Linked DNA regions of Pelodiscus sinensis. The protein of the gene in region 1 purifies or fractionates together with the protein of each later gene. This does not show direct contact. Links are inferred from orthologs where the notes say so. Each region holds a gene or a part of one and is shown in the gene's direction. Other genes may lie near its edges.

Region 1 (7,426 bases):
AGGAAAATGTTTACTTTAAACATGTTATGAAACATTCCAGAAATTGGTTTGATGGGATAATTTTACATTAGAGGCATGCTTTTCTCCTTTGGAAAATTTTGGAATTTTTGTTATACAGGAATTTTTTATCTTTTTAAATAATTATTTTCTGTGGGAAATGTTGGAATGTTTGATAGGAAATTTTGTTTTTTTACTTTTGTGTGAAATTTCAGAATTTTTTTTAGCAGGGCTACTCAACATGTGGCCTGTGACCTGTTTATTTGTGGCCCCTGGTGCAGTTTGGGTTTACATGGGGCTCAACATCCGGCCTGTGGGTGGGATCCTTGGAACATGGCCTCCACTGGGAACACGCTTCACAACATGATACAGTTCTGTGGTGATCTGGAAGCCTACTTTCGCTGTCTCCATCTCAAGGAATACTTCCAACACAACACTGAACAGTGCACTGACACACAGATACCTTCCCACCAACAGCACAAGAAGAAGAACTCCATATGGACACCTCCTGTGGGTCGAAATGACAGTCTGGACCACTACATATGTAAGGGGACTGTTAGCCCCTTATACTCTGTGGGAGTTTTTTAGTTTGCCAGCTCCCAGTGTCAACAGGGGAAGGGTCCATGAGACTGACAGACCCCAGAGACAATGGAAAGCAGCCAACACTCCAGCTTAGCCTGATTGACAAGTTGGACAGGCCAGTGAGAAAAGCAAGAGGCCAGGCCCCGTCCTCCCTGTGAGCTGGGATTGTTCTGGCTCTCTCTGAGCAAACAGAGAGCTGAGAGACTGCCCAAGGGGGGCAAGCTGTGTGCAGAAGAAGTCCTGCAAAAACAGGGAGCTGAGAGACAGCCCAAGCAAAGCAAGCTGTGTGCTGAGGGGCAGTTTTTGCAGCAGCTGAGCCAGACACACACAGCTCAAGGAGCGCAGACCCTGTGTTGAGCAGCAGACTGGCAGTGCTCAGAGAGCCAAAAGGAACAGAGAAGCAACGCAAGAAGCTAGAGACTGGCCACGCAGCACAGCCTGCAGCTGGATGTGGTGAGCAGCTGGGAACTGCAAAGTATGGGGAGAGGCTCTGGACTGGGAGAGGGGTCTGGCCACTTAGAGCTTGAGGCTGTGTGGTCACTGCCAGAGCAAGCGTGTCCAGCCTGCAGCCCCCTGCAGCACATCCAAGGCCTCTAAGGGGCCTCTAAGGAAGAGACTGTGGACTGACCTTACACTCTGCAGGCTGCTGTTTTGATGTCCCTGTGCTACAGAGCAGGGCTGTGTGTTCTCATTTAACCATTCTCATTTTTTCTTATTATTTTCTCTTTAATCAGTTGATGTTTAATAAATTGTATTTGCTTTGAACCTTATGAAGTGATCGCTGGGCCAAGAAGGCCTGCAGTGTAAAGAGAGCACCTCGGAGTGGGGACACCCTAACTCCTGCCCCTAGTGACTACAAGGTCGGGGATTAAGCCCCAGGAAACCTGGGCCCAGCCTTGTTGGGGTTTCGAGGGCTCTGCTACTCAGGAGAGTGGAGGGGGAGCCCTCAGGATCAGGGAAGCCGTGGGGTAAAGGAAGTGGGAGTGGGGACTCAGATCCTTTCGCTGGTCCATTTCACCGGGGTGTATAGAAGCCAGGAAAGTTCCCCACAATAGCGGGACCATTCCCCCACTTACACATAGAATGCTTCTGCCAACGTGCACAGGCAGAAATTGTGGAAAACCAGCATCGCTTGCCCCGTAACCTCAGTCGTGCAGAACGCAATGCCATCAACAGCCCCCAGAACAACTCTGACATTATAATCAAAGAGGCTGATAAAGGAGGTGCTGTTGTCATCATGAACAGGCCTGACTTACAAAAGGAGGCTGCCAGACAACTCTCCAATACCAAATTCTACAGACCACTTTCCTCAGATCCCACTAAGGAATACACTAAGAAACTGCACCATCTGCTCAGGACACTCCCTAAACAAACACAGGAACAAATCGACACACCCTTAGAGCCCCGACCAGGGTTGTTCTATCTATTACCCAAGATCCACAAACCTGGAAATCCTGGACCCCCCTCATCTCGGGCATTGGCACTCTCACTGAAGGACTGTCTGGATATGTGGACTATCTACTCAGATCCTATGCCACCAGCACTCCCAGCTATCTCTGTAACACCACTGATTTCCTGAGAAATCTACAATGCATTGGTGATCTTCCAGAAAACACCATCCTAGCCACCATGGATGTAGAGGCTCTCTATACAAACATCTCACATATAGATGGAATACAAGCTGTCAGGAACAGTATCCCTGATGATGCCACAGCACAACTGGTGGCTGAGCTCTGCGACTTTATCCTCACACAGAACTATTTCAGATTTGGTGACAATATATACCTCCAGACCAGTGGCACTGCTATGGGCACCCGCATGGCCCCACAATATGCCAACATTTTTATGGCTGACCTGGAACAACGCTTCCTCAGCTCTCATCCACTTACGCCCCTTCTCTACCTACGCTACATCAATGACATCTTCATCATCTGGACCCCATCATTAGTGACCTACAACCCATCCTGGACAATGATCCCTCACTTTCACAGGCCATGGGAGGCAGGCCAGTCCTTGCCCACAGACAACCCGCCAACCTGAAGCATATTCTCACCAGCAACTATACACCGCACCATAATAACTCTAACTCAGGAACCAATCCATAAAACAAACCTCGGTGCCAACTCTGCCCACATATATATACCAGCAACACCATCACAGGACCTAACCAGATCAGCCATACTGTCACTGGTTCATTCTCCTACTCATCTACTAACATAATATATGCCATCATGTGCCAACAATGCCCCTCTGCTATATATATCAGCCAAACTGGACAATCCCTACGTAAAAGAATAAATGGACAAAAATCAGATATTAGGAATGGCAACATACAAAAACCTGTAGGGGAACACTTCAATCTCCCTGAACACACAATTGCAGAACTAAAGGTAGCCATCCTGCAGCAAAAAAACTTCAAGACCAGACTTCAAAGAGAAACTGCTGAGCTACAGTTCATCTTCAAGTTTGACACAATCAACTCTGAATTAAACAAAGACTGTGAATGGCTTGCTAACTACAAAAGCAGCTTCTCCTCTCTTGCTATTTACACCTCCAAATCAGCTACTGAAAGTGGGCCTCATCCTCCCTGATTGAATCCACCTCGTCATCTCTAGTCTGATTCTGGCCTGCATATTTATACCTGCCTCTGGAAATTTCCACTACATGCATCTGATGAAGTGGGTCTTTGCCCACGAAAGCTTATGCTCCAACACTTCGGTTAGTCTATAAGGTGCCACAGGACTCCTCACCACTTATGCTTCACAGCGGTGAGCATTTCTCAGACGGGGTGAGCATTGAAAGACGCAGGCAGACGGGCTGGCTGGAACAGACCGGTACAGGGTGTCGGCATTTCTAGCCCCCAGGGAAGAGGTGCCAGGAGTGCTGGGGCATTGTGGGAAGTGCTGGCTGCTTAGCCTTGTGGACAGAGCCTGACAGGTGCTGACTGGCTCACACTGGCCCATGGTGGCTTGAGGTTTTATCTTTGTATTCATGCAGGTCAGTGTGAAAGAAGCTATTTGCATATATTTGCATATAAATGTGCATGTATATGCAACCACACTTAAGTCACGGCCCTTGGCATGTGCTGTGAGTATCATTGTGGACCCTGGGGCTTCCTAAATTGAGTAGCCCTGGTTTTAGGATAAATTTTTGTTTACTTTTTAAAATGTTTTGCAATCAAATATTTGAAACCTGTGTTTTGCAGAAAATAAATCAACAGGACATGTCAGAATTTTTTCATGGAAAATATTTAATTTTTTTGAGAGTAAGGGAATTATTTCCAGCACAAAATTTCAACATTTTTGTTTTATAGGAAATAATTTTATTTTTATGCAAAATTTCAGAATGGTTATTTCACAAAATTTTACTTTCTGCCAGTCCCGCCCCCCTGCCTCTCTATTTCTGGCAGGCAGAGGTTTAGGGAAGCCCAAAGCATGGGCGTCACATCCCTGGCTCTCTTGGCTAATAGCCAAAGAAGTCATCCATGCCTTTTTTGGGTCACAGTGGCAAGGAGTTCCACAGGTTAACAGGCTAGTATGCTGCAGGGCTCCCCCATCCCAGCAGCTGCACCCAGCCCTCATCAGCCATGTGTTGATGTGGACTCACTTGGCCTCAACAGTCCTGGTGCGGGAGGGGACCTAACACCGGGGCCAGGGATGGGCCGGGGGAGTACTACACGCATGCGCAGCGCTCTCTTTTTGCAGCGGCTCCGTTGTTGTGCGCATGTGCTGGCAGCGGAGACTACATTTCCCGTGGTGCCTCCTTCTGGCGGAGATGGGGAAAGCGGGGTTATTGTGGGCATGCGCAGCGGCGGCTCTTGGCGGAGCAGAGTTGCGCGTGCGCAGTGGCCAGGGTGCTGGTGTCTGCGCAGTGAGGCGGCTCGCGGCGTTGGGCGAGTAGCATGAGGCCGGGTGAGCGCGGCTGGCCCACGTGTGCGGGGAGGGGCAGTCAGTGGGGGCCGTGTCCCGGGGGACGGGTCAGTTGGGGGGGCATGACCCCGGGGGGGGGGGACAAGGTCAGTGCGGGGCCGTGACCCCGGGGGGGGGTCCGGGGCTGGGGGTGCTTAGTGGGGAGCAGTCACGTGGCCCGGGCTGCGGGGGGTCGCGTGGCCCAGGGGGGTGTCCAGGTGCGGGAAGGGGGGGGGGTCTCTGTGCCCCTGCGGGGGGCTCGTGTCTGCACAGGAGCCTGGGGGGGTAGTGGGATGGGGGCGCGTGTTTGGGTTTTACTGTTAGATGGGGGCTGGTGGGTGGAGGTTTTGGGGCGCACCCGAGAAGGTGCAGACAGTGGGGATAGAGGGACGTGGAAAGGCAGGTGGGAGGCGGGCTAGCAGCGTGCTGGGGTGGGGACAAGGGAGGTGAAGGTTTAACCAGTTAAGGTTAACCAGGGGGGGCTGCGCAGGCCAGGCTGGAGCAGTCCCTGCCTCCCGGGCAGGGGATGGTGGGGGCTGCTCTAGCTCGGGATGTTAAGAAGCGGGTATTTAACCAGTTGAGTAGTCGATAAAAATTCTATCGACTACTCGATTAGTCAATAGGCAGCTGGCTCAGTCCCGGTTTGTACAGGGTTGGGACCAAATCCCGCTGTGTCTCTGCAGTTTAAAGGCGGTAGGAGCTTGGGGGCAGGTTGCCTAATTCCTACTGCATTTTCAATTGCAAAGACACAGTGAGGTGAACTGGGGCTGAGCTGGGCTGCCTGCCCAGCCGGCAGAAGCCCCTGCCCCTACCTCCGCGGAGACCGTGCTGGGGAGAATCGGCTTTTAAGCCAGCGGAATGTGAATAGTTAACTCCCTGGTTGACTAATAGACTGATCCCTTACTTCTCTAGGTCCAGCCCTGTGGCAGGCCCTCCCACTGCCCCCGTTTAATTGGTTTACCTATGTTTAACCAGTTAATCAATTCAAGGGGATGGGGTGACCAGGAAGGATATGGGGTGGGGCTGTATCCATGGTGGGAGAGCAATGGTGGGGAGTGGTGTTCGGGTTCAGGCCGCTCTCTCTCTCTATGGTGTGGGTGGAGGGTCATGGTGGGGTGTGGTCTCTAACTCTCTCCTGGTTGCAGGTTTCAGTCCCCGTGGAGGGCGCGGTGGGTTTGGGGACCGTGGAAGAGGCCGAGGGGGCTTCCGAGGAGGCCGAGGTAAGTGCTCTCTGTGCCCCAGTGGCATCGCTGTGTTGGGGAGGGGAGGGCTTTGTGGTTACGACTGAGCACCTGTGTGCTGCACCTCCCCCTCTCCCCTCGGTCCCAGGCAACACCCACTGTTGGAGACCTTCCTGTCCAGTGAATACTGGGAGAATTTTGCTCCCACCGCACCTCAGTTCAGTGGCCATTGACTTTGGGCTGTGTTGCTGTGTGGACAGCACATCCTGTCCCAGCTCCATCAGTGTGCCATGGTCCAACCCCTGCCTGGGTTATTTCCCCTCGTGATCTCAGGGACACTGGATCCCCGCCTTCATATCTTGTCCCAAAGTGAACAGCTGCTCTGCCCCTCTGCTTTCCATGCAGGGCGGGGACAATGGCACAGGGCCAATGTGCTTCTACTCCATCTCTTCTCTCCCTTGTAGGTGGTGGGTTTAAATCTCCGGGTGGGAGTGATGGAGGCTTCCGAGGAAGAGGAGGTGGCGGTGGTTTCCGTGGACGAGGCGGGCCAGGCCGAGGAGGCCGCGGTGGAGGAGGCCGGGGCGGCCGAGGAGGGTTTAAAGGAGGCAAGAAGGTGACGGTGGAGCCCCACAGGCATGAAGGTAACCAGCATGGGACAAAATAGTGCTGTCTCCTGGGAGCAGTGAGGTGTTGTGGCCAAGGTGGTCTGCCTGGACTGGACAGCGCTGGGATTCACTGCTAGATGTTGGATTGATCAGGGCACAGCTGGGGTGGATTGCTATCCAGTGTTGGAGGCACTGTGTATGGGAGGTTACATGGCTGATCCATGGCTTGGCAGCCCTGCTGTGATCCCTTTATGATTTGCAAGGGCAATTGACTCCTTCCCATAGCAGGGAATGTTCCCCCTGCTCTCCTTAGACTTGGGAAGAGGGTTGTCCCTGTTCTGACAGCTTCCCATCCGTTTCCTCCTTCCACCCAGGCGTCTTCATCTGCAGGGGGAAGGAGGATGCGCTGGTGACGAAGAATCTGGTGCCCGGCGAGTCTGTGTATGGAGAGAAGAGGATCTCTGTGGAGGTAGGCGGCCTTGTGGTAATGGGGGAAATTCTGGGCAGCACTGGCTGCCCCAGGACTCAGGGGTGGGATGGTGCCAGCCTGTTAAGGCAGCTCCCATGTTTCTAGAGGGACACTACCCCAGCAGGAAGGGTATTAGGGTTGGGGCGACTGCCACAGTGGAGCATGCTCGCAGCCAGTTAACAGCCCCGGGGGAGCTGAGCTGAGCTTTGACCCTGCTGCTCTCTCTGCAGGACGGTGAGCTGAAGATAGAGTACCGTGCCTGGAACCCTTTCCGCTCCAAGCTGGCAGCAGCCATCCTAGGTGGCATTGATCAAATCCACATCAAGCCGGGAGCCAAGGTCCTGTACCTGGGAGCTGCTTCTGGAACCACAGTCTCACATGTCTCCGACATCGTGGGGCCGGTAAGGAGCTGCTGTTGGGCCTGGGTCTGAAGAGGATGGGGGTGGGGGCAGGGACGAAGTGTCTAGTGAGTATGACTCAGCTGTGCTGAGAGAAGGCAGTGCCTGATTGCATTGTGGGGGGAGGGGAGAATGGGAAGAAAAGCTGCTCTGCCCTTGGGGGAGATGGCTGACCATGGTTTTTTACCCCACCCAGGAAGGCCTGGTCTATGCTGTGGAGTTCTCCCATCGCTCCGGCCGTGACCTCATCAATGTGGCGAAGAAACGCACCAACATCATCCCCGTC
Region 2 (7,632 bases), on another chromosome or scaffold:
TGGCCAACCCACTGCTCTCCCCTCCTGCGGCGCTCATCCTGGAATTGATGTCATGTCCCACGTGATCAGCTTTGTGAGCCCTGTGCAAGTGACCAGCACATGGAGACATGAGTGCCCCCACTGTCCTCGCTGACATCGTGATGGTTGCCAGCACTTCTGCTCCCATGGCCCCCACTGCCCAGGGATGCAGAAGAGCTCCAGCCTGAAGTGCTAAGGAGATCCTGAATCTCACTGAGTAGGGCGGGGGGGGGAGGAGGGGGCGTTCAACCTCCATGAACTCTGCACAATGCAGGCAAATGCCAACATCTATGGTAGGATTGTCTCCAGCTTCTTGGCCAAAGGCCACACCAAGAACCTGCAGCAGTGCAGGTTCAAAATCAAACAGCTGTGCCAGTCCTACCAGAAGGCCAGGGAGCAGAGCAGCTGTTCTGGGGCAGCACCTGCCACTGTTACAACCAGCTGGATGTCATTCTGGGAGGGGAGTCGGTTACCTCCACCGCCGTGGTCCAGTCTGGCCTAGACATGCCTGGCATCAGCCTGCAGGTGGGCAGGGTGATGGAGGAGGATGCCAGAAAGGCAACAATGCCTGAGAGCTAGGAGCTGCTCCTCGCTTTGGAGCCGGTCCGCCCCTTCCAGGATGTTTCCCAGGCTTCTGACAACCCTGGGGAGGGCACTTCTGGTGAGTTTTCTAACTTTAGCTGCAAGTGAGGGTCAGGCAAAGGGCTGCATGCTCCTCTCTGTTACTCACTCTGGCTGTGTCTACACTGGCATGAATTTCCAGAACCGCTTAAAACGGAATACTATTCCGTTTTCAGTTTTTCCGGAGAAGGAGCGTCTACATTGGCAGGCTGCTTTTCTGGAAAAGCCCCTTTTCCGGAAAAGCGTCTGTGGCCAATGTAGATGCGCTTTTCCGGAAAAGACTACTGGGCTGTCTACACTGGCCCTTTTCCGGAACAGTGTTTCAGAATAAGGACTTATGCCCGAGCGGGAGCAGAATAGTTTTTCCGGAATAGCGGCTGATTTTGTACAGTAGAGCATCGTTGCTTTTCCGGAAGTTCAAGGGCCAGTGTAGACAGCTCACAGCTTATTCCGGAAAAGTGGCTGATTTTCCGGAATTAGTGGCCCAGTGTAGACACAGCCTCCGAGGGTTGCAGAACAGCTTGTTCACATGTCTGTAGATGGCGTGTCAGGCTGGAGCACTCATTGCCACAATGCTGTCACACAGGAACCCTTTGATCCTTCTCACACGATTCCCATAGAGGCCTGCCTTATTCCAGCCTCTGTGGTAGGACACCTTCCTACACTAAGCCACCAGGAAGCAGTCTGGGGTCATGGAACCACATAGCAGTGTAGCACGCTGCCCTGATTCATGCCCGCACACAGTCAGCATTCGCTCCAAATCAAGCACAGTGATGCAGGGAAGACTGATGATATGCATAGGAACCTGCTGGAAGGAAGAAGAGGAGGGGAACCCATTAGCACTTTCTGCCACTCATACACACTTCCCCTCTCCTTCCAGCAGGCATTGATAGAAATTCTCACCGCAGGATGCCACGAGTGCCAGACCCAGCATGTGCAGGACACAGTAGGAAGCTGAGCCGCCCCCCGGCATGGTCCTGGCCTGGTGGGCACCTTACCATGCCTACTTATCTCCAGTCTCTGTGTTTGTGATGCTCCCCTGGGATGTCTGTGCACCTGCTGGAAAGTACCTGCTTTAGAAGCAAATTATGGCCTTGCTCAAAACACAGTGCTGTTGTCTGAACTGAGACCTTCAGTGTTGGCTCAGTGATTAGGGCTAGGCTTCATACAAAGCGTTTCCTGTGAAGACTGCCCTTGTAAATTCACAGCAGGACAGCGGTGAGCTGGGCATGTCCCTAACTTCCTGCTGCATCTATCCACCTGACCAGGATCTGCAGATGAATAAGAACATGGGACATGCTCATGAGGGAGCAGCTGGTCTGCCTGCAGTCCCTCATGCAGGAAGTCAAGGCAGAGTACCTGGAGCAGGTTACTGAGAGGAGCGGCAGGCTGACCAGGAGACAGAGGCCACATGGGAGCAGCTGGTACACCAGCGTAACATATTCTCTACCCTCACAGCAGTGCTGGAGCATGTAGCAGCATGCATGGATTGGGCCACCAGCCACATCCCACCTGCTCGATGGCCACCCCTGCAAGGGTCTCCAGGGATTGCTGGGACCCCAAAACACAAGGCATGGGGCCCTCTAGGCCACCTGGAGGCAAACACCAGTCCCAGCCCTGGCCCCCATTACAGGTTCTTTCTCCATTCCCTTCCCTGTTGTATGTCCACTGAATAAAGACTCCTGTTTGTTAATCAATGATCTCTTTATTGTTTGCTCTGCCAAGGAGGGCAGGAAAACAGAGAGACGGGGATCTCTCTCTCTCACACACGCACACACACACAGAATGCAGGGTGGAGAGTCTCACAACTGGTCTTGCATAAAACTGTCTTTCAAGGCGTCTCTGATGAACAATGCCCCTTGCTGTGCTCTCCTTGTGGCACTGGTGTCTGGTTGCTCAAACTCCCGAGCTAGGCGTTCTGCCTCAGCCCCCCATGCTGGAAGAAAAGTCTCCCCCTTGTTTTCACACAGGTTATGGAGCACACAACATGCCGCCACCACGAAGGGCATGTTGAGCTCGCTGATGTCCAGGCGGGTGAGGAGACTCCTGAACCTCCCCTTTAAACGCCCAAATGCACATTTCACCACCATTCTACACCTTCTCAGCCTGTTATTGAACTCCTCCTTGCTGGCATCCAGGCGGCCTGTGTAGGGCTTCATGAGCCAGGGGAGCAAAGGGTAGGCTGCATCTCCCAGGATCATAATGGGCATTTCCAACTCTCCGACCTTGATTGCCCTATGGGGGAAAAAAGTGCCAGCACGCATCTTACTGAAGAGGGATGAGCTCTGCAAGATGCGTGTGTTATGCGCCTTTCCCGACCATCCAACGTTGATGTCAGTGAAGCGTCCCTTGTGATCCACAAGTGCCTGCAGCACCATGGAACAGTACCCTTTTTGGTTGATGTAGTTTGAGGCATGGTCGTCAGAAGCCACAATGGGGATGTGTGTTCCGTCTATGACCCCCCCACAATTGGGGAAGCCCATGTCGGCAAAACCATCCAAGATGTTGTCTATGTTGCCCAGAGTTACAAACCTCTGTAGCAGGATGTGGTTGATGGCCTTGGCTACTTGTAGGAGCACAGCCCTGACTCTGGATTTCCCCACCCCGAATTGATTCCCGACTGAGCGGTAGCTGTCTGATGTAGCTAGCTTCCAGAGGGCAATGGCCACGCGTTTCTGCACGGGGATGGCAGGTCTCACTCGGGTATTCAGGTGCCTGAGGGCAGGGTCAAGCCACTCGCAGAGTTCGAGGAAGGTGGCCTTGCGCATGCGGAAGTTTTGCAGCCACTGCTGATCATCCCATCCCTGCATGACAATGTGATCCCACCAGTCCGTGCTTGACTCCCTCCGCCAGAAGCGATGTTCCATTGTGTCGAGGGGAGTCAGAGGCATGTACAGAAGCAGGAGTGCCAACACTTCGCTAACCATGGCTTCTGGGCCATGCTGGACCTCCTCCTCTTCCTGCTGGAGCAACGTGCGGGCATTGTCGAAGTACTGCTCCATGAGGCGCAGCATTGAAGCCATGAGCGTGGCACTGCCTTGCAGCTGCTCTGGCTCCATGGTTGCAGGGCTGTGGTGCCAGTGTGGGAACCCAGGGCACAACAAGACAGGTGCCCACCGTGTCCCTTTCCTGTTGCACAACAGGGGCGTAATGGAGGAGCACTTGTGGGATGCAAGAATGGAGAGGAGCCTCTGAAAGCCCAAGTCGACACCAGACGGAGCCGCTCCCCAGAGTTCCGCCTGGGGCGCCGAGGCCGAGGCCGGCTCTGAACGTGGACACGTCACCTCCGGGAAACTTCGATTGGTGCCTGATGCGGGGACACGGCTCCACAGCAGGTGCCCAGCGCGCGAGGTCAGTGAATTCGAATGGATCCCGCAGGGACCAGCGGCTCCGGCGGTGCGGGGGGGGGGCGCGTTGCAGGGCTGCAATCCCCCGGCGCGGCTGCAAGGCACGAATCGAGGCAGCGGTTAGGTCTCGAGCCGGCAGGCCCCGGGCCAACTGCCGCCCGCCCGCGGCCTCCGAACCGCCCCTCCGATCGGTTTGCGCGCGACGGTTACTGGGCGGGGCCGGGAGGGGCGCGCGACGGTTACTGGGCGGGGCCGAGAGGGGCGCGCGACGGTTACTGGGCGGGGCCGGGAGGGGCGCGCGACGGTTACTGGGCGGGGCCTGCTTCGCGCCGAGATCGGCCTGCGGGAAGAGGGTCCCCTGGCCCGGCCTTAGAGCGGGGGCGCCAGCGGCAATGGGGGGGGGGCCTTACCACGCGAGCTCGGTGGAGGCGGGGACGCGACTCCTTGTACGGCTCAAGGGCGGCCCGCGGCTGCCGCTGCCCGAGACCTGAAGAGGCAGAAGCCCCCTCATCGAACCACTTCCGGGCGACCGCGTGCACTTCCGGGCGACAGCTTCCGCTTCCGGGCCAGGGGCCGCCCCGTGTCCTCTGCTCCCGCACGTGCCCCGCGCCTCACTCGGCCTCGCTCTCCCGCCAAGGATGCTGCTGGCCCGGGCCCTCCGCGCCGCCGCCGCTGCCCTCCGCCCGCTGCCCCAGCGGCCCCCGCGCCTCCTGCCCTCCGCGCTGCTGCGGCCCGCCACCGCCCGCCCCTTCACCCGCAGCCTCTGGCTGCTCAGCGCCGACCCCGCCGGGACGCAGCGGCCCGGCCTCCTGCGGCCCCCGCGGGCCTCCCCCGCCGGCCTGTCCTGCGGCTGCGGCGGCCTCCACACCGAGGGTAATGGGGGGTGGAAGGAGGCAGGGCGGGGGCAGGGAGCCCTGGACGCAGAGCGGGTTTCCGAGGCGCGGGGCTGGGGCCGGCGGGTCACCCGCGAGGGGCCCAGACGTGCGCGCTGCGCCTGAGCCGCGCTCGGCGTCTGGCTCCTCGGCCTGGACTCGCGGCGGCTTCCCTGGCCGTGACCGGCTCCGCTCAGCGCTTGGTGATTCCCCCCCGGGGGCGGGATGCTGCGCTCGGGCAGCTGCGGGGAGAGCCTGCTGTGTCTCCATCGTCTCCTGGCTCCTGCCATGGGAGAGGTCTGGCTAGCACAGCAGGGGGAGTTGGGGCTGAGGCAGTTTCTGCTCCTAATTTTGCCATTGACAAAATGGGCGGCCTTGGGCAAGTTTCTCAACCTTTCTATTATGTGCATCGCTGCACTCCTCCACCCCTCTTAACGAGGGATGTGAAAGGTTAACTGGTCACCTGATGAACCAGTAAAAGCATCACCTTAAATGCAAATCCTGAAGCCTGAGATCTGGGCTTCTGAAGAAGACTGCAGAGCAGCGTGGATCTGCATAACTTGAGAGGGGTTGATGCCATCCAACTTCTTGTGCTCACTTCATTCATAAGTTAGGTGCTGTTTCCCTCCTATATTGTACCTGTAACAGTACTTGCATATATTGAAAGAAGAGCTTTTTAATAATGTCTTTTAGTAATCACTCCTTACCTAAGCCTTCATCCAGAACTTCAGAACCTTTGGCAAATCAAGGGCTCTTACATGTCCTCTCTCTGTAATCAACATAATTCTTTGCCCTCAACAGTATAGTGCTTTTCAGCTGAACATGAACAAACACTTTATGAACAAGTAGGCCTTCTAATATCAGTATAAAGTCTGTGGTCTTACCTCACCATTTTATACCCAGATAAGCTGAGGTACACACAAGCTATTTGGTCAAGTACGTAGCTCAACTAGAAATAGAATCTTGAGGCTTAACTTTACTTTCTCATCTAACCACTAGGGAACAATGTTTCTAACTCAGGTGTATTAATGTCTTTGTCTTTTTTATTCCTTGAAGGGGACAAAGCATTTGCACAGTTTCTGACAGATGAAATTAAAGAGGAGAAGAAGATCCAGAAACATAAATCCCTGCCCAAGATGTCTGGAGGGTGGGAGCTAGAAGTGCATGGCACCGAGGCTAAACTGGTGCGGAAAATAGCTGGTGAGAGGTAAGTGTGAGATGGGTTTTTTGCTTAATTGATATTTGATCTTTTCAGTGAACATAAAGGACTTGGTAAAAATTGCAGCCAGCATGTTTTGTCCAGGATTGAGGTTAATGAAAAGCTATTAACTTAGTGCTGTTTCTCATTGTCAGCTCTGCTGTCATTCAGGGCCAGTACAGATAACAGAAGCTTTGTAGTCAATTTATTTTTCTATACTGTAGCACTGTGGTCACCAACAGGTCGATCGCAATCTACTGGTCGCTCGCGAGGCCTCAACCAGTCGCTCGCGAGGCGTCCTGTCTGCCCTGCCCCCATTTCCCTCCCACCCCCGAGAAGCCCCACTACTTACCTCAAGTGAAAATGGAGGTAGTGTCGGCTTCCCGGGAATGGACAGAAGTCCTGCAGCTTAGCGCCACTTCCGGCGATTCCAGAAGTGCACTAGCTGCTCTGCCGGGTGTTCTGTGGGAGGGAGCATTGGCTCCCTGCACTGCACAGGAGAGGTGAGTCAGCCCCACGGGAAGCGCGCAGGGGGTTGGCCCCCGGGCAGGTGTGCGCGCGGGGCTTCCCTGGGCGGGGGGGTTGGCGCCGGGGCAAGCGCGCACAGGGTTTCCCTGCGCCGGGGGGTTGTCCCCCTGGGCAAGGTGTGCCCGCGCGGGGCTTCCCTGCGCGGGGGGGGGGGGGGGAGCGGTCGGCGCCGGGGCAGGCACGCGTGGGGCTTCCCTGCGCGGGGGCGGGGGAATCGGCACCGGGGCAGGCGTGCACGCGGGGCTTTCCTGGGCGGGGGGGGGGGAGGGGGGGTTGGCGCCGGGGCAGGCACACACTGGTTTCCCTGGGGGTGGGGGGTAGAATCCTGGGAGGAGGGAGATGCAGGGGACTCTCTGTCTCCACTCCCCAGCCACAGAACGCTGTCCCCACTCACCTGGCCCCAGCCACAGAACGCTGTCCCCACTCCCCGAACTCTGTCCCCACTGGCACCCTGTCCCCAGCTGCAGAAACCTGTCTTCTGCCCTCCCAGCACCTTGTTCCCTTTCCCCTGCCCCCAGCCACAGAACTCTGTCCCCACAAAAATGTATAATTATAAATGCTTCATTTTAGATTTAAATAGCATGAATAAAAAACAGACCATTTATTTCATAACTATAAACATGTGATTTTAATTGTATGTATCGCATAATTTAAAAATAAACTGTTTATCAGAGTGTGTAAGTAAGGGCTGGGGATAGCAAGTGATGGACAGGAGGAGAATAGAGAGGGCGGGCTTTCAAGGAAGGGGCGGGGTGGTAGATCTTTGCCTGTTCTGAGATTTTAAAAAGTGATCTTGGGTGTAAAAAGGTTGGAGACCACTGCTGTAGCACAATGGGGTATACTTTGCCATTGTATCTTGCCTTTGTCTTCTAAGGATTCATGGCCATTTTACCTTGGGGGGAAACAGGAAACATGAATTTAACCTAGTAAACTAAGAATACATTCGTTCATAAATACAAGGAATTTATGTGTTTTAAACTTAGTACAGTTTATCTTTGAGAGTAGCACACCATGCAAAGTGCTTGGAAATTCAGTGAAGTGCATACTG
Region 3 (7,772 bases), on another chromosome or scaffold:
ACTAAGCTATAAAGGAAAACTGGTAAAGTGAGGAGCCAGTGCCAAAGTCTTTTCACATGCAACTTTCCATTGAAATTTATGATAGTAGTATAAGGGTCCTATCATCAATCTAACTGCAGGCCTTGCCCACCCACTGGTCCAGTTCCCTAGGGAATTAATTTTGGGGTCAAGATGGACACATGACCAGAAGCAAAGAGTGTCATGTAAACCCTCTAATAACTCTTCCCAGCACCCTCTACCAATCAGGATGGGTTTTGGCTTCACAGGACCACTCCGAGTGTAGGTTTGACCAAACCAGAGTCCTTCTGGGGCCTGGTGATCTGTCTTGGAAGTGGGTCATAATGAGCCTCTAAAAACTCCTCCCACTGGTTTCTACCAACTGTGATGAGTTTTGGCCACAGGGACCATCCTGAGAGTGGATTTGACTGAACAGGGTAGGTTTTGGGGTTGGGTGTCCCACCCTGAAAAGGGTCATGTGACCTCTCTAAGAGCTTCCCCAACCACCCCTTACCAATCAGAGCACAGCACCACTCCCAGAAACCCCAGCACCACATGGAAGAGGCCATCTTATCCCAAGAATGAGTGTTTCAGAAATCTTGGAAATCCTTTGAGGAAACAGGGACTCCTTCACCACCCCCTTGTGAACTTTGGACAGTTTTAGCCCTGAGCATTACATCAGTGACTGTTCCAAGGAGGAACTGTTCTGAGGAGAACCCTTTGGCTCAGCTGTTGCTGGATATGTTGGGACCAACCCCGATACCCAAGTGCTCATGGGACAGCCCAATGAGCATGATGGCTTCTCATCCAACCCTATGGAAGAAGGTGTCCCCAATGAACAAAGTCACACAGATAAATGACTGATGAAGAAATGATGGTTGATGATGGAGTATAATAGGGTTAGGAACCAAATCATGACTGTTTAAATCTAGCGTGGGAGCTCATGCTGCTTCCTTTCTGAAAATCTCTTGACAGCTCGATGATGCCTTTCTAAAGTCCTTTGAGAACCTACACATTGGTAGCTCTGTGGGAGTAAATCTGTCATGCATCAGCTGTTTTTGTTTGTGTCTGAGACACACATCTTGAGAGGAAAATCCAGAAAAGAACAAAATGGACGAATAAACTAGCTCAGGTTCTCTAATGGTTATCGTGTTCATTTTCACAGGCTGCTATAAAAGGATGTGTTAAACCAGGCAATTAATAACATTTGTTTAAATTTATCTGTCTGAATGCATCCCCTCCATACGTGTAATATCTTTTGCTAACACACTAACAGTCATGTCTATGTAGACGATTCTGTTAAAGAAAATTTCTTACACTCCCCAGAGAAGTTAGGAGCTTCAGCGAGGTAAACCCTCTGTTTCAAGCAGCCAAAAAGCATAATTATTTGAATAGAAGACAGGTAACAGCTTGGCTTTCAGATCAGGACTCTTACGCATTACACAAACCAGCTCAAATACATTTTAAAAGAAATAAAATCTTTTTTTTTCAGATGTGGATGTGCAATGGCAGCAGATTTGATGGACATGTACTGGTTCTCCAAACACAACAGCAGTTTTAAGTACATCTTAACAGCGATAAACATTCTATCCAAATATGCCTGGGCCTGTAGACATAAAAGACAAGATGGGTGGTGAGGTATCCAAGGCCTTTAACCTATTTTCAGAGAAGGTCTGAAAATTACAAATTGATTGGAGAAAAGAAATTTTAAACAAACTTTTAAGCACATTGTTAAAATGGTATGGCATTCACTATTTTGTTAGTAATAAACAGAGATTTAGCATTAAATAAAAATTTCACAAAACTTAATTCTACCATATTTCTCACCCATACCTATGCATCTATTTAACATATAAAAATCTAATAAAACAACAAACCAATAAACAAAATATATTTACTGGACTTTGTCCAACCATCAATTGTTGCTGCTAGTGAATTTTTCTTTTGAGCTTGTTTATTCTCTGGTCTATAGATCTCTCAAGTTTTGATTGTACTGTGGAGCAGACAACGTTATTATAAAACAATGAAATAGTCTCATAAGCTTAAAAATAAAATGCTCATTAGGATGTTTTTTCATTTAAAAAGTCATAGCTTTAAACAAAACAATCAATTTCAGGCTGTAAAAAATATACCAGTTTTGCTTTATTTTTAACACTCGTGTTTCTCCAAAACTCAATATTATATATTTTCAGAGTTAAATACAAGCCACATATCTCACATCACAGTCCAGCAGCAATTCAATTCAGGATCATTTCTACTGAAAGAGGATTGTCTCCAAAAACCTGAGTTTTTTATACCATCCTCTTTGTTTCAAACAAACTTTAAAATCTGTATTTAACAGGTTAGCTAAATCATCACAACTCTGAATTAATAGATAATTTAAGGAATTTAGGCATCCTTCTCCAAACCTCCCTCTTCTGTGATTGGGGTTGGGAGTGGAGAAATTAAGTTGTCTGCACAACTGGGCTGCTTTAGGCTATTTTATTTTATTAGTTACAATACTTTTTTTCTGTTTAAATTAAAAAACAAAGCACTGAGGGCCTTCTAACAATATTAAACAATAATTCACCATACACAATCATCCTTAATGTTACAGTAACCTCTCTAGAGTGGGGGAGCCTTTGAAGATATCAATGTATATCTTGAGGGGTGGTAGGTTTTTTCATGCTTAAAGTTTTGGGTTGTTTTGAAAAAAAATGGAAGTATCATAAGCATGTTTTCATAAAGGTCAGTATGATGTCTCTTGTTTGTTGCACCATAAAAGAACCAGATTTGTTAGGAATATTTATCAGGTTCTTTCTGATGCTGGAACAAGCCAGGGTTATCTCTGGGACTAATCCTTTTGTGAGTATTCTGATCAAATGCTTATGAATGTTTGTTACTGTTTGCGTCTAGTAACTGCTTATTCTTTAGGTTTTTAGACATGTTTATAGAACTCCATTGGACAGTTTCTATATAATCCCAGGAGTTGGTAGAACTCTATTAGGCAGTTTAAATAAACCCATAGGAGTTGGTTGAATACCATGGGTCACTGTAGTAATACAAACTCATTAAAAGTTTAAAAAATAATTACAAAAAATAAACAAAGGTATAGCCCAAAACTGAAATATTTCAAGGATTCACAATTCTCCACAATACTTTACATTTTCTGTAAAAACATTTAAAAGCCAGATGTGCTTTTGCGCAAGAGAGCATCCACACTGCATAGGTACTCTTGCACAAGAAAGCTTTGATGGCCATTCACAGAATGGCCAGCAGAACACCTGTGCTTTTTCCAATAGGGGTTTCTTGCATCAAAACACCTCTAGAGCACCCACACTTGCCTGTTTGTGCAAGAGCCGTAGTGCAAAAAGGAGTTATTCCTCATGGGGAGAGGAATAACTACCAGCAAAAGCCCTCTGTTCTGTCAATTTTCTTGCACAAAAACGTGCTTGAGGTGTGGATGCTCTGCCAGTTTTTGCGCAAAAACCTTATAGTGTAGACATAGCCTGAGTGGATGTTTTCAGAGCTATCCACAATGACTCCAAGATCTTTCTCTTGAGCAGTTGTAGCCAAATTAGTCCCCATCATACTGTATATACAGTTGGGATTATTTTTTCCAATGTACATTACTTTACATTTATCCACATTAAATTTCATTCGCCATTTTGTTGCCCAATCACTTAGTTTTGTGAGATCTTTTTGAAGCTCTTTACGATCTGCTTTGGTCTTAACTATCTTGAGAAGTTTGGTATAATCTGCATATTTTGCCACCTCACTGTTTATCCCTTTCTCTAGATCATTTATAAATAAGTTGAATAGGATGGGTCCTAGGACAGACCCTTGGGGGACCCCACTAGTTACCTCTCTCCACTCGGAAAACTTACCATTTATTCCTACGCCTTGTTTCCTGTCTTTTAACCAGTTATCAATCCAAGAAAGGACCTTCCCTCTTATCCCATGACTATTTACTTTACTTAAGAGCCTTTGGTGAGAGACCTTGTCGAAGGCTTTCTAGAAATCTATGTAGACTGTATCCACTGGATCCTCCTTGTCCACGTTTGTTGACCCCCCTCAAAGAACTGTAGTAGAGTAGTATGGCATAGTTTCCCTTTACAGAAACCATGTTGGCTTTCCCCCAACAAATTATGTTCATCTACGTGTCTGACAATTTTATTCTTTACGATAGTTAGAAACGGTCTGCCCCTAATTTGCAATGCAATCGGTTCTGGAGCTCGCGTCGCAAGTCGGGGCCGTCGTAACTCGAGTCTGCATTTCTGACAGACATCGTTCCACTGTAAATGCGGGGACAGGGATGTAAGTCGGGGGGGGGGGTTCGGCCCCTTCAGCACTTATGGAAAAGGCCGTAAGTGCGGGGGCTCGGAACTCAGGCCGTCACAAAGCGGGGGCCTCTTCTAGTTGAACCCATCTCAACCCCTTTAGAATGAACACGCTCTCCGCAGCCCCGGTGCTTTCTGGAGCTTGAACCAGGTGGGTCCCTCTCTTCTGGACTGTCTCGAACGCGCCCAAGCCCAGCGGCGGGCGGGAAGTAACACGGGGGGGATCGCTCCCTGCTCGCCACCCTCAGACAGGACCCGCCGTCCCTGCGCCGCCAGCCACAATGGGCGGGGTCAGGAGCTGTAGCCCCGCCTCGCAGCGGTTGAGCCCGCCCCCTTCCTCCCAGCTTGGTCCGGGCCATCCTTTGAGCTAATCCCACTCTTCTCCCTCCCCCCCGCTCCGGCTCTTTCTGTCTCGTCATCCTCTGAGTTCCGCCCCCTGGGCTGCCGAGGCCAGCTTCCTGTCTCCTCACTTCCGGTTGGCTGCCGTGCGCGCGCTGCTTGCTTGCGGCGGGGCGGTCGAGGCCTGGATCCCTCACGTGGCGTCGCCTGGCGCGCGCGCGGGCCGTTGGCGCTGCGGCCGCTCTCGCTGACCCGGGCCCCCTCCCTCACCCGCCATGCTGGTGCTTTTCGAGACCGCGGCGGGCTACGCCGTCTTCAAGGTGAGGCAGGCGGCAGGGGCGCGGGGCGGCCCGTAGCCTTCTGCAGCAGGAGCGCCGGGTGCTGCCCCGGGCCTCGACCACGTGCCTGAGGCGAGAGCCCCGGGTCTGTCGCAGCTGGGCCTGGCGCCGGTACCGAGTAGAGGCGCGAGGTCCGTGGGAGGCGGTGGCTGGGCTGGGGCGCAGGTTAACGCAGGAAAGGGAGGCTCTGCCCTCGCTGCCTGCTCGGCCCCCCCGGGGGTCTCCCTCGCCGGGCTACTTGCAAGGCAGGTTTTTCTGCGTTTGATCCGACAAGGTCAGCCCCTGCTGCCTAGGGCAGTGGCCGGGTAGAAAACCGGACCTGGGCAGTCGTGCAGCGTGTAGCACAGGGATACATCGCTTCCTCGCGGATCCTGCATAGATCGGCTTCTCTCCGAGCCTGAGCTTTGATTCATTCCGCAGGATAAAGTGTAATTGTAAATGTCAGTGACCACGTGTCTGCAGCTGCAGCTTTTCCCTGTGATCTCTTGTGGTACCAACAACTCACTTCCTGTTTGCATCCGGGAAGAGCAAGCTGGTCTTGCATTTGTTAATTTTAGCCACCAGTTTTGGAATGAAACAGATCCGTTAAGAATTATCCCCTTGTGATAACTATTAGCAGAAATTGTGGCGTTTATACAACTAACTAATGTTCTATTATTGCCTTCCAAATATGTTCACATTGCATCTGTTTCTTCTGGGACTTTTAGCGTTTATTGCAAGTAATATTATTCCTTTAGTCCCTAAATGAAAGCATTGAGGCTAACTTAATAGTAATGGTATTTTAAATACTTCATTTACAAGATGTGTTCAATTTACATTTGTCTGCTAATGTTTATGTAAAATGCTTAGCTTGACTGGTGTACATTGAAAAGCAAAGATTCCATTCCAGAAACTTTAACTGGACACACAATCTTATAGGGATGTAAGTGACTAGTCAACTATCTGATAAGCAAAAGCTTATCAGAGGACACACGGAGGACTGGTCACTTCCCCCCTCTCCCTTACTGCCTCTATCAGAAAGAGGCAGCAAGGCGGGGGGAGAGCAAGGGATCCTGGAGGGACTGGCTTTCTTGTTCTTCCAGCTCTGGGAGGGAGAAGGAGCCCAGTGGCGGTGTTCCAACTTCGAAATGTACAAGAGTTTCCACTGCGGTGGAGGTTCCCCACTCCCGGTTTACCATATATGATAAAAATTTAATGGGGGAGAAGAGCAGATTTCACAGTCCATGACATGTTCTTCATAGTCATGAATTTGGTAGGGCCCTACTTTTTTTTATATAAGCATAGATGGGTTCAGGAATTCTCAAACTTCATTGCACTGCAAACCTTTTCTGACAGACTATATGTAAGGGCTGAGGATGGGAGGAGGTGGCGGATGTAGTGTAGACCAAGTCTTAGTGCACTGCTTATTAAGAGCTCACAGAAATATGGTAGACTAGTGAAACTGTGGATTAATCTTTTGGGAGGCAGAGGTGGATTTCTTTTGTTGATAGCAATCTGAAATATTAGTCTGTTAGCCAAGGGTGGTGTCTTTAAAATTTACTCTGAAGGCTGTGTAGGTCTGAATGCATTGTACTGCAAAGAGAGTAAGTCCTGAGCAGCAGGTGGGAGCTGGTCTGTGCAGGGAGTTGATTTTTTAAACCAGCTTATGTTGCTGCCTCTGGTACAAAGGCTAGTCACCATGTAACTCAGGGTTTCCCAACATATGGGTCGGGACCCAAATATGGGTCGCCATTACATTTCAAAAGGGTTGCCAGGTGTCTTCCCCAGGTGGCTCTGCCTTCCCTCCTCCCTGTTTTTGAATTGCCTTAGGTCACCAAGTATTCCTGAATTGTCAAAATGGGTCCCCATCTGGAAAAGATTGGGAAACACTAATGTAACTGAAAACATTTTTTTTGTAGTTAACATTTATTTTAGCAATCATGTATCTACCATCTCTAGATCCAGTGTTCCCTCTAACTTTTTTCTGTCCACCTGCAGAATAAATATTATGTGCCCCTAGGCATATGCAGATGTGCATCAACAGTAGAAACATGCTGCTGGCTGTGAGTGCTCTGCTAATCAGCTGGGCTGCATTTGACTCTCTCCTGGGTGGCTGCCATGTGCTCAGCTTACAGGGAACATTGATCTGGCCCCTCCACACTCACTGACAGTGGTGCAGGAAGCAGAGCTGCGTGGCCCTGGCTCACTCTGCTCCCCAACAGTGAATGTGGAAGCAATCCCAGAGCACCAGTTCCTCTGCTCCCCTCCTGCTAGTGTCTCTAAGCTCCGAAGGTCAGCTACTTAACATGTGTCCATTCCTCCCCCCTTCTCCCCCCCCCTCCACACACCTGCTCCAAACGTCTTTAAACATTGGTTTCATTTTTTATCCACAGGTTCTGGATGAAAAGAAACTCCAGGAAGTTGATACTTTGTGGAGAGAATTTGAAACTCCTGAAAAAGCAAATAAAATGTAAGTCTTTCCATGAAGAGCTAACAGCCTGGGTATGAAAGATAACTGTGTTTAATTGTGTACATAGGAGATGAAGGACTAAGGCTTTGTGTTTCAGTATAGTTCACAGCTTTTACATGTTAAAAGAATGATCTGACCCAAGATCTCTGGGTGCTAGAGATCAGAGTGAAACCTAATATGGATGTGTGTAGCTGTGGCAGAGTATCTGTTCATGGCAGGGTTCTTACACCTTCCTCTGAAGTGTGACACTTGATACTGTGGGCCAGAGTACTAGCCTAAATGGACTTTGGTCTAATCCAGTTATGCTATTCCTGTGTTCTTAAAAAGATG
Region 4 (7,828 bases), on another chromosome or scaffold:
TCCATCTGTGTTTATTCTCACACCCTAGTCCTCGCACGGAGGTTGTCAAACAATACGCAGGCAAAGCTGTGAGGTCTGAGGCCCTTTTCTGCAGCCATTCTAGGGGAGCAGCAGGCATGAGCCCAAAGGAGCAGAAAACCACATCCTCGCACTCCTTCTAAATTATATTAAAACAAGGTAACATCCGGCTGCTCCCCTCAACAGCACATGTAGATAAGCAAGGAATCTCTTTAGATGTAGAAAGAACAATTTGTTTGATGGCATTCAGTCTGGCAAGGCATCACTTACCAACAATGGTGGGGGCAAAAACTCTAGTATTTTGCTTTTATGGTCTCTACTTCTCTATTGGTGAGTGTCTGGTCCTTTTAGGGTGTCTGACCATTGCATAATTAATTTTGCAAGATTTAAATCAGTGAAGGTGGGTGAGGTGGGACTGGTTTCATAATGGGCTAGGATGGGTGCAAAATACCTTATATACAGCCTTCTGCTGCTCCAGTAGATTGTAGGAGGCCTTTGTGACCCTTCCCAGCCACCGTCACCCCCACCGGGTGCAGAAAAGCAGAGCCCTGCTCTCGATTTCGACACAATGGGACCAGCTTCCATAGTAGCTGGGGCAGGAATCACCCTAGGGACCTGCTATTCCGGCAGAGGTGGGTGCACCCTGCTTTCAGAGAGGAGGCACCTTACACTACATGTTCCTACTCTTCCCTCTGGGAGCAGGGTGGCTCGGAGGCCACCACGGAGCATTACTGCTCCTTTCCCGCCAGGGTGCGTCAGAGCAGGATTTCTGAGTTCAAGAGCAAATTCAGCCGGCCAATGCCATCGTCCGAACCTCTTGCATTCACCAGCAGTTCCCTTTCGCACTCCCTTCGCCCCATTCTGAAGTGACTCCCTGCCTCCAGCTAGCCCAGAGGCGCACGTCACCGGTTCCATCAGCAGAGCCCGATTCACCAGGTTCCACTGACAGGCATCTTCAGAGAGGAACCCCCGCACGAAAGGGTGTCTAGCGGTTTGGTTTTATGGAAAGGGATGAGATCTGGAGACGGACGCTGGCTCTGTCCAAGGTCCTGAGTCAAGAACTGACCAGTCCCGTCCTCCTCAGTCCCAGGCACGCAGTAACAGCCCCCATCTCCCTACCCCAAGCAGCCTTCTCCGTTGCAGATTGTCAGGGGAGTCCTGTTCGAGCACTTCCTGCCTTGCTAGCGAGCCAATCAGAGCCTTTGTACTCAGCTAGAGTGTCGGATCCAGTTCTGGGCCCCACATTTCAAGAAAGATGTGAAGAAATTGGAGAAGGGCCAGAGACGAGCAACAAAAATGATGAAAGGCCTAGAAAACATGAGCTATGAGGCAAGGCTGAAGGAATTGGGCTTGTTTTGTTAGGAAAAGAGAAGACTGAGAGGGGACATGAGAGCCATTTTCAGGGATCTAAAAGGGTGTCACAAGGAGAAGGGGGGGGAATTGTTCTCCTTGGCCTCTGAGGACAGAACAAGCAACAATGGGCTTAAACTGCAGCAAGGGAGGTTTAGGTTGGACATTAGGGAAAACTTCCTGCCTGTCCGGGGGATTAAACACGGGAATAAATCACTGATGGGGGTTGTGGAATCTCCAACATTGCAGATATTTCAGAGCAGGTTGGATAGACACCTGTCAGGGATGGTCTAGGCAGTGCTGGGCCCTGCTGTGGGGGCAGAGGACTGGACTTGATGACTTCACTAGATCCCTTTCAGTTCTAGTGTTCTAGGATTCATACCCAACAGCGTTCCTCTCCACAGGGGAAACTGCGAGGAATCTGTGACATCACAAAAGAGTGTCTGATGGAGGAGAGAGGGAAGAATCGGTGTTAGTTACGGATCAAAGTATTGGCCTGTCTCATAACATCCCTAAAATCTGACATCTAGATTTGAGCCTTCACCAAAACTGCAGGCTTTGGTTCACACTCAAGCCACTAAGAAGCTGGTCCCACTCTGTCACAGGGACTTTGTATACCTACCTGGGTGCTCTGAGCTCTGCCAATGTCTGTCACCTCCAGCAGCAGCAGCACAGAAGCAAGAGTAGCAATACCACAACCTCTCTCCTCCCCCCACACACAATGGCCTTGCGACTGCCCCCAAACACCTTTGTGGGTCAGGACCCCAACAGTGACAACCTGCAATGTCAGACTGAAGTAGCCGGACTCATGAACTGTACCATTTTTAAAAAGCCCAGGGTTATGAAATTGACCAACATGGACCATGACTTTGGTAGGGCCCTGGCTTATGAAGGACGTGACCAAGCGTCACTCTGCAGTGTACAGGCCCTGTCTGAGTGCTGATTTTAACAGGTGCATGTTAGACACCCGCGCATGACTTACCACAGCAGCAGAGCAAGCTGGAGCTAATGTCAAGCAGCTGTCATAAGAGGGCAGGAGGCAAAACATACGGATCTTTGCTGGGACTAAGGAATACCCCTAGAAAGCTTACAGATGTCACCCCATGCGGCTCTGAGTCTTTCCCAGCTCCTGCTCAGCCTGGCTAGTTCTAAGACCAGGGAAAGTGGATTTTACCCCCGCTCTCAATTTTCAGAACAGACCCAAACCACAACTGGGCTGCTGAGGTCAAAGTGGCTGCAGGTGCCACATCTCCTGGGGACAAGAGAAAAGCAGGGAACCCCCTGGACCTGGTGTGGCACCACCAGAAAGTCCTTCCCTTAGCAACCTTAGCAGGCCCACTCCAGCTCAGTGCAGAGAAACAGATGCAAGGAGACTGGGACAATGGGACTAGTTCAGAGGGTTGGCATAAAATGCTCCATCGCTTGGCTTGGTTCCGAGATCTGTGTCTCCCAAGGCGGAGCTGGGAGCAGGACAGGCCCTGCTTTGAGAGCCTGGCTCCCCCTGCAGCTGACAGAACCAGAGCAAGAAGCAAAGCCAGGCCGCGGCTGAGCAGAGCCCGTGAGGCACGAGAGAAGAAAACACTCGCCGAGCCGGGGACAAGAGTGAGAGAAGGGCAGTGACTAGGCGTTTGTGGGGTGAGTGTTGTGTGTATCACACCCGCCTTGCGCTTCATTCACGGTTAGTCACTGCTGGGAAGCTGCTCTCCAGGGGAAGTACAGAGCAGCAGCGAGGGCCCCGTCTGCCCTGCCTGGCCGGGCTTCGGCACTACACAGCCATAGCATGAGCGGGGCTGCACTCAGAGGCGAGGGACTTTGGCTGCTTGAGAGGACAGCAGCGTGGTGGCCTCTCCGTGGCCAGGCCCAAGGGCTGGTCTTCCTCCTCCTTGCAGTTCCGGCTGGGGCGCTTTGCCCACGCACGCCAGCGGGAGCCATCTCGCTGAGGCTGGCCCCTAGATGGGAGGTGGCAGCCATTTGGGCAAAGGGCAACACTTCCCCAGGAGGCAGAAATAAAATGCTCCCGTCTCGAGCCCGGACAGCCCCCAGTACCGCAACCCGGCCACGTTCCCTTCGTCCTGAGTGACGAGCACCTGGGGCTGCCCCATCAGCAGCCTGCCTGGATGGGGCTGGTTCAGGGAGCAGCTGCCCAGCCCTTCCTGAGGAGCCGGCCTCTTTGAGGTCTCAAGAGGGGCGCCCAAAATCTGCCATCACTGCTCGAAATCTTGGCCTGGACCTCTCTGACTCAGTTCTCCCCTTGGTAAGAGCGGGTGCAATGCCTCCTTCCCCGGGAGAGTCCCAGGCTTGGTTACAGTTTACATAAGAGCCCCACTTTGTCGGCGCATAAACTCATAAGAACAGGAGAACGGCCGGACTGGGTCAGACCAAAGGTCCATCCAACCCAGTAGCCTGTCTGCCGACAGTGGCCAGCACCAGGTACCCCAGAGAGGGTGGACCGAAGACAATGATCAAGCGATTTGTCTCCTGCCATCCCTCTCCAGCCTCTGACAAACAGAGGCCAGGGACACCATTTTATCCCCTGGCTAATAGCCTTTTATGGACCTAACCTCCATGAAATTATCTAGCTTCTCTTTAAACTCTATTATCAGGGCTGGCTCGAGCCCTTTTGGCGCCCTGGGCCCGGGCGTGCAGTGCTGCCCCCAGGCACAGGGCGCATGCGCAGGCCCACCCATGGGGCACGGGCCTGCCCATGGGGCACATGGCATACACGCGCGCTAGCCATGGCCACTGGCGCAAAGCCTGAGGCCCGCTGCCGGGGCACGCGGAGCATGCGCTACCCAGCCCAGCCCGGCCAGCGCTGCTGGCACACATGCCGGGCCGTGCAGGGCCCCACAGCCGTCGGGGGAAGGGCACTGCTGGCCGGCACTGAGGGGCAGGTGCTGCAGGAGCCGGGCGCACGTCTCCTGATGGCATCTGTCAGGGACACCATGCGCCCCTTACAGCTGCCATTAGGTGCCCCTCGTCGGTTGGGGCTCTGGGCAGCTGCCCAGCTCGCCCATGCCTCCACCCAGCCCTGTCTGTTCTAGTTCTAGCCTTCCCAGCCTCCTCCGGCGAGGAGTTCCACAGGTTGACTATGTGCTGTGTGAAGAACTTTCTTTTATTAGTTTTAAACCTGCTCCCCATTAACTTCATTTGGTGTCCTCTAGTTCTTCTAGCCGCACTCGGCTCCCCCAGCTCAGTGCTGCCCAGGCCCGGATCAGCCCCCAGGGCAGGGCCCACTGGCCCCAGCTGCTGGCCTCCCACGTGCTCAGGTGGCACCTGCCCCGGAGGCTGGCGAAGGACCTGGCCCCGCCCCTCCCTACCCGCTGCACTGCAGCCGCCGGCCGCCAGGTGGCGCGCGAGCGCTCTACGGCTGTGCGGGCGGCGGGCCCTCCCTTTAACAACATGGCGGCTAGGCCCGCCCCCTTCCGGGGCCACGTGTGACGTGTGACCCCGTGACCTCACGACGCAGCGCGTCCCCCGGCACGTGCGGGGCGGCCGGCGTGGAAGCATGGCGGAGGCGCGCGCGGTGCCCAGCGACCTCTTCCCGCTCGTCCTCGCCTTCCTGCGCGACAACCACTTCGAGGGCGCGGCGCGCGCCTTCGGCCGGGCGGCCGGCGTGGTGAGGGGCGGGGCCGGGGGGGGGGTCCTGGGGGCGGGGCTGGGGGGGTGTCCTGGGGGAAGGGGGGGCTGGGCCGGGGGGGGGTCCTGGGAGAGGGGAGGGGCTGGGAAGGGGGGGCTGTGCCGGGGGGGTTCTGGGGGAAGGGGGGGGCTGTGCCGGGGGGGGGTCCTGGGGGAAGGGGGGGGCTGTGCCGGGGGGGGGTCCTGGGGGAAGGGGGGGGCTGTGCCGGGGGGGGGGTCATGGGGGAAGGGGGGGGGTCATGGGGGAAGGGGGGGCTGTGCCGGGGAGGGTCCTGGGGGAAGGGGGGGCTGTGCCGGGGGGGGGTCCTGGGGGAAGGGGGGGGCTGTGCCGGGGGGGGTCCTGGGAGAGGGGGAGCTGTGCCGGGGGGTTCTGGGGGAAGGGGGGGGCTGTGCCGGGGGGGGTCCTGGGGGAAGGGGGGGGGTCCTGGGGGAAGGGGGGGGCTGTGCCGGGGGGGGTCATGGGGAAGGGGGGGCTGGGCCGGGGGGGTCCTGGGGGAAGGGGGGGGGCTGTCCCCGGGGGGGGGGGCTCCTGGGAGAACAGTGTTTGCCTACCTCTCCGGGCAGCTGCATGTCACCTTAGCACCGGGGAGAGACAGTCTCTGCATAAGGCGTGAGACCTCATTGAAAATGGTGGCAGATGATCGCAAAATTGGGAGGGCCTCCCTCCCCTCTCTTCCCTCCCCCCAACTTTCTCCAGATCTGCCCACTTTTTCTGTCTTTTCGTAATTAGATACTGATAGTGATAATTCTTCTAGAATACTTACTGTCTAATCAAGATGTTAAGTAAATCTTTCCCCCCTCCCATTAGGCTCCATTATTGCAAGGCATTGGCATATACCTAACTGGACACACTGAGTTGTCCCCTTAACATGAATGAAACTACTCAGTGTGCATAGTTAAGAATAAGGCAATGTCTCCTAGCACACGTGTGGCTGAAGTGTCTGCAGAATCTTGGTTGTAGATGTTAACAAATCTATGGGTCCTGGAATTTTGAGTCCTAAATAACTCAGGTTGTTTCTTTTTTCAGATTACTCAGAGGCTTTTAACTCTAGCTTCTGATGCTATTGAAGGTTTTTATGAGCAACACACTCCATTTGCTAAGTCTCCCACCTCTCCACCTGGTATACATCAGGAAGGTGTGAATTCAGAAGTGGTTGCCAATGGGTCAGGGTTTTCCATTCCATCCAAAGTCGAGAAGTCCATGTGGTTTGTCAGTGCTAATAGTCCTGTGTGTTTCTGGTTTACAGACAGACCAGGACCCTAATGCTGCTTCTCTCTTGGATGTCTTCAACTACTGGCTCAAGTAAGTGTCTCTCCTCCTACAATATTTGTTGAGAAGGACTAAGCCAGTCCATCTCTGGGACATTTCTATGGTCGCTTTGTTTTTCAGATTGGTGTATTAAATGGCAAAGGTTTTCCAGCAAAACTAAACTTCCATCATACAGTATTATGGGGAATAATTTGGCTACAACTACGCGAGAGAGCTCTTGGAGTCATTGTGGATAGTTCTCTGAAAATATCCACTCAGTGTGCAGCGACAGTCAAAAAAGCAAACAATGTTAGGAATCATTAAAAAAGGATAGAGAATAAGACCAAGAATATCTTATTGCCTTTATTTAAAACCAGGGTACGCCCACATCTTGATTACTGCGTACAGATGTGATCACCTCATCTCAAAAAAGATATATTGGCATTGGAAAAGGTTCAGAAAAGGGTAACAAAAGGGGTCCCCTATGAAGAGAGATTAAAAAGATTTGGACTTTCCATCTTAGAAAAGAGGAGATCAAGGGGGGATATGATAGAGGTTTATAAAATCATGACTGGTGTAGAAAAAGTGAATAAGGAAAAGTTATTTACTTATTCCCACAGTATAAGAACTAATGGTCACCAAATGAAATTAATAGGTAGTAGGTTTAAAACAAAAGTTTTTCTTCACCCAGCACACAGTCAACTCCTTGCCAGCGGATGTGGTAAAGGCTAGAACTTTAACAGGGTTCAGAAAAGAGCTAGATAGATTCATGGAGGTTAGGTCCATCCAGTGCTTTTTTTTGGTTAAAAAGGGGGGGGGTGCTGGTACTCCAGGGGAGAAGTTGTTGAGTTCTGACTGGAGGAGCTGGTACTGTGTTCCAGGCAGTACCTGTCCATAATAAGGAAGGACTGTTTTTTAGAAAATATTTGCAAAGCACTTCTAATCGGCCTTCTCGTCACAAAGTTCCAGGCTGCCATTTCAGGAGCAGCAGCCTACGGCCCTTTAACCCCTTTTAACCTTATTTTAAGTGAAAGGCTAATATGTGAGTTTTTTGATATTCCATACTTATGGTATGACTTCGCTGGACAGTTTTCCCCAGCTGGACAAGCAACTCTGGGCTTAAAGAACCTCCAAACCCGGGTTTTTCTGTGTAGGTAGAAGTGCTCACACCCAGGTGAGAATCCATGCTAACTGGGCAATGAAGACACATCCTTAATTTTCGTAAAAGAATGTGCATTCAAGTTGGCTTCTTGGCAACAAAGCAGCTGTTGAAAGGGTAGCTGGTCTTCTCAGGATAAGAGGCTAGAGAGTAGGGAAAAGGAGCTAGTTAGTCCAGGAAACCTTAAAGGGATTAGAGAAACAGTAAAAATAAGCTATTCTAAACAGAGGGGAAAACCTTATCCGGGGTTACTGTGTAGTAGATATGCACTTTACACAATCCTCGCAAAACTAGTTGTTTTTGAGAGATTGTAAAATGACCCACGCTCCCAGCTAATCTAATTGTGGCCGTTAAGAAGCTACAGGTAGTTAGACCCTTGTCTTCAGCTTTAGCTAGGACTTACCTGAGACATGTGC

Evidence for each region.
Region 2: the proteins of FBL (region 1) and C1QBP purify together in Homo sapiens (affinity purification with mass spectrometry; 4 studies listed by BioGRID and IntAct, counting the BioPlex papers as one, with this or other methods). This does not show direct contact. The link is inferred for Pelodiscus sinensis from reciprocal best matches to the Homo sapiens genes FBL and C1QBP.
Region 3: the proteins of FBL (region 1) and NOP58 purify together in Homo sapiens (affinity purification with mass spectrometry; 7 studies listed by BioGRID and IntAct, counting the BioPlex papers as one, with this or other methods). This does not show direct contact. The link is inferred for Pelodiscus sinensis from reciprocal best matches to the Homo sapiens genes FBL and NOP58.
Region 4: the proteins of FBL (region 1) and NOLC1 fractionate together in Homo sapiens (co-fractionation; 3 studies listed by BioGRID, with this or other methods). This does not show direct contact. The link is inferred for Pelodiscus sinensis from reciprocal best matches to the Homo sapiens genes FBL and NOLC1.

What each region holds. Positions count from the first base shown.
Region 1 is NC_134734.1:4,829,717-4,837,142, reverse strand, and holds the start of FBL (rRNA 2'-O-methyltransferase fibrillarin), read left to right. Parts: upstream 1-4,414; 5' UTR 4,415-4,480; coding exon 4,481-4,490; intron 4,491-5,632; coding exon 5,633-5,707; intron 5,708-6,132; coding exon 6,133-6,309; intron 6,310-6,647; coding exon 6,648-6,742; intron 6,743-6,972; coding exon 6,973-7,143; intron 7,144-7,336; coding exon 7,337-7,426.
Region 2 is NC_134731.1:25,932,197-25,939,828, forward strand, and holds the start of C1QBP (complement component 1 Q subcomponent-binding protein, mitochondrial), read left to right. Parts: upstream 1-4,624; coding exon 4,625-4,859; intron 4,860-5,914; coding exon 5,915-6,065; intron 6,066-7,632. Other genes in the region: uncharacterized protein LOC102447468, read right to left, coding at 2,442-4,080, 4,397-4,497.
Region 3 is NC_134717.1:56,310,792-56,318,563, reverse strand, and holds the start of NOP58 (nucleolar protein 58), read left to right. Parts: upstream 1-4,772; 5' UTR 4,773-4,930; coding exon 4,931-4,975; intron 4,976-7,365; coding exon 7,366-7,442; intron 7,443-7,772. UniProt on the Homo sapiens protein: Required for the biogenesis of box C/D snoRNAs such as U3, U8 and U14 snoRNAs. Part of the small subunit (SSU) processome, first precursor of the small eukaryotic ribosomal subunit.
Region 4 is NC_134718.1:2,408,415-2,416,242, forward strand, and holds the start of NOLC1 (nucleolar and coiled-body phosphoprotein 1), read left to right. Parts: upstream 1-4,822; 5' UTR 4,823-4,873; coding exon 4,874-4,984; intron 4,985-6,251; coding exon 6,252-6,307; intron 6,308-7,828. UniProt on the Homo sapiens protein: Nucleolar protein that acts as a regulator of RNA polymerase I by connecting RNA polymerase I with enzymes responsible for ribosomal processing and modification.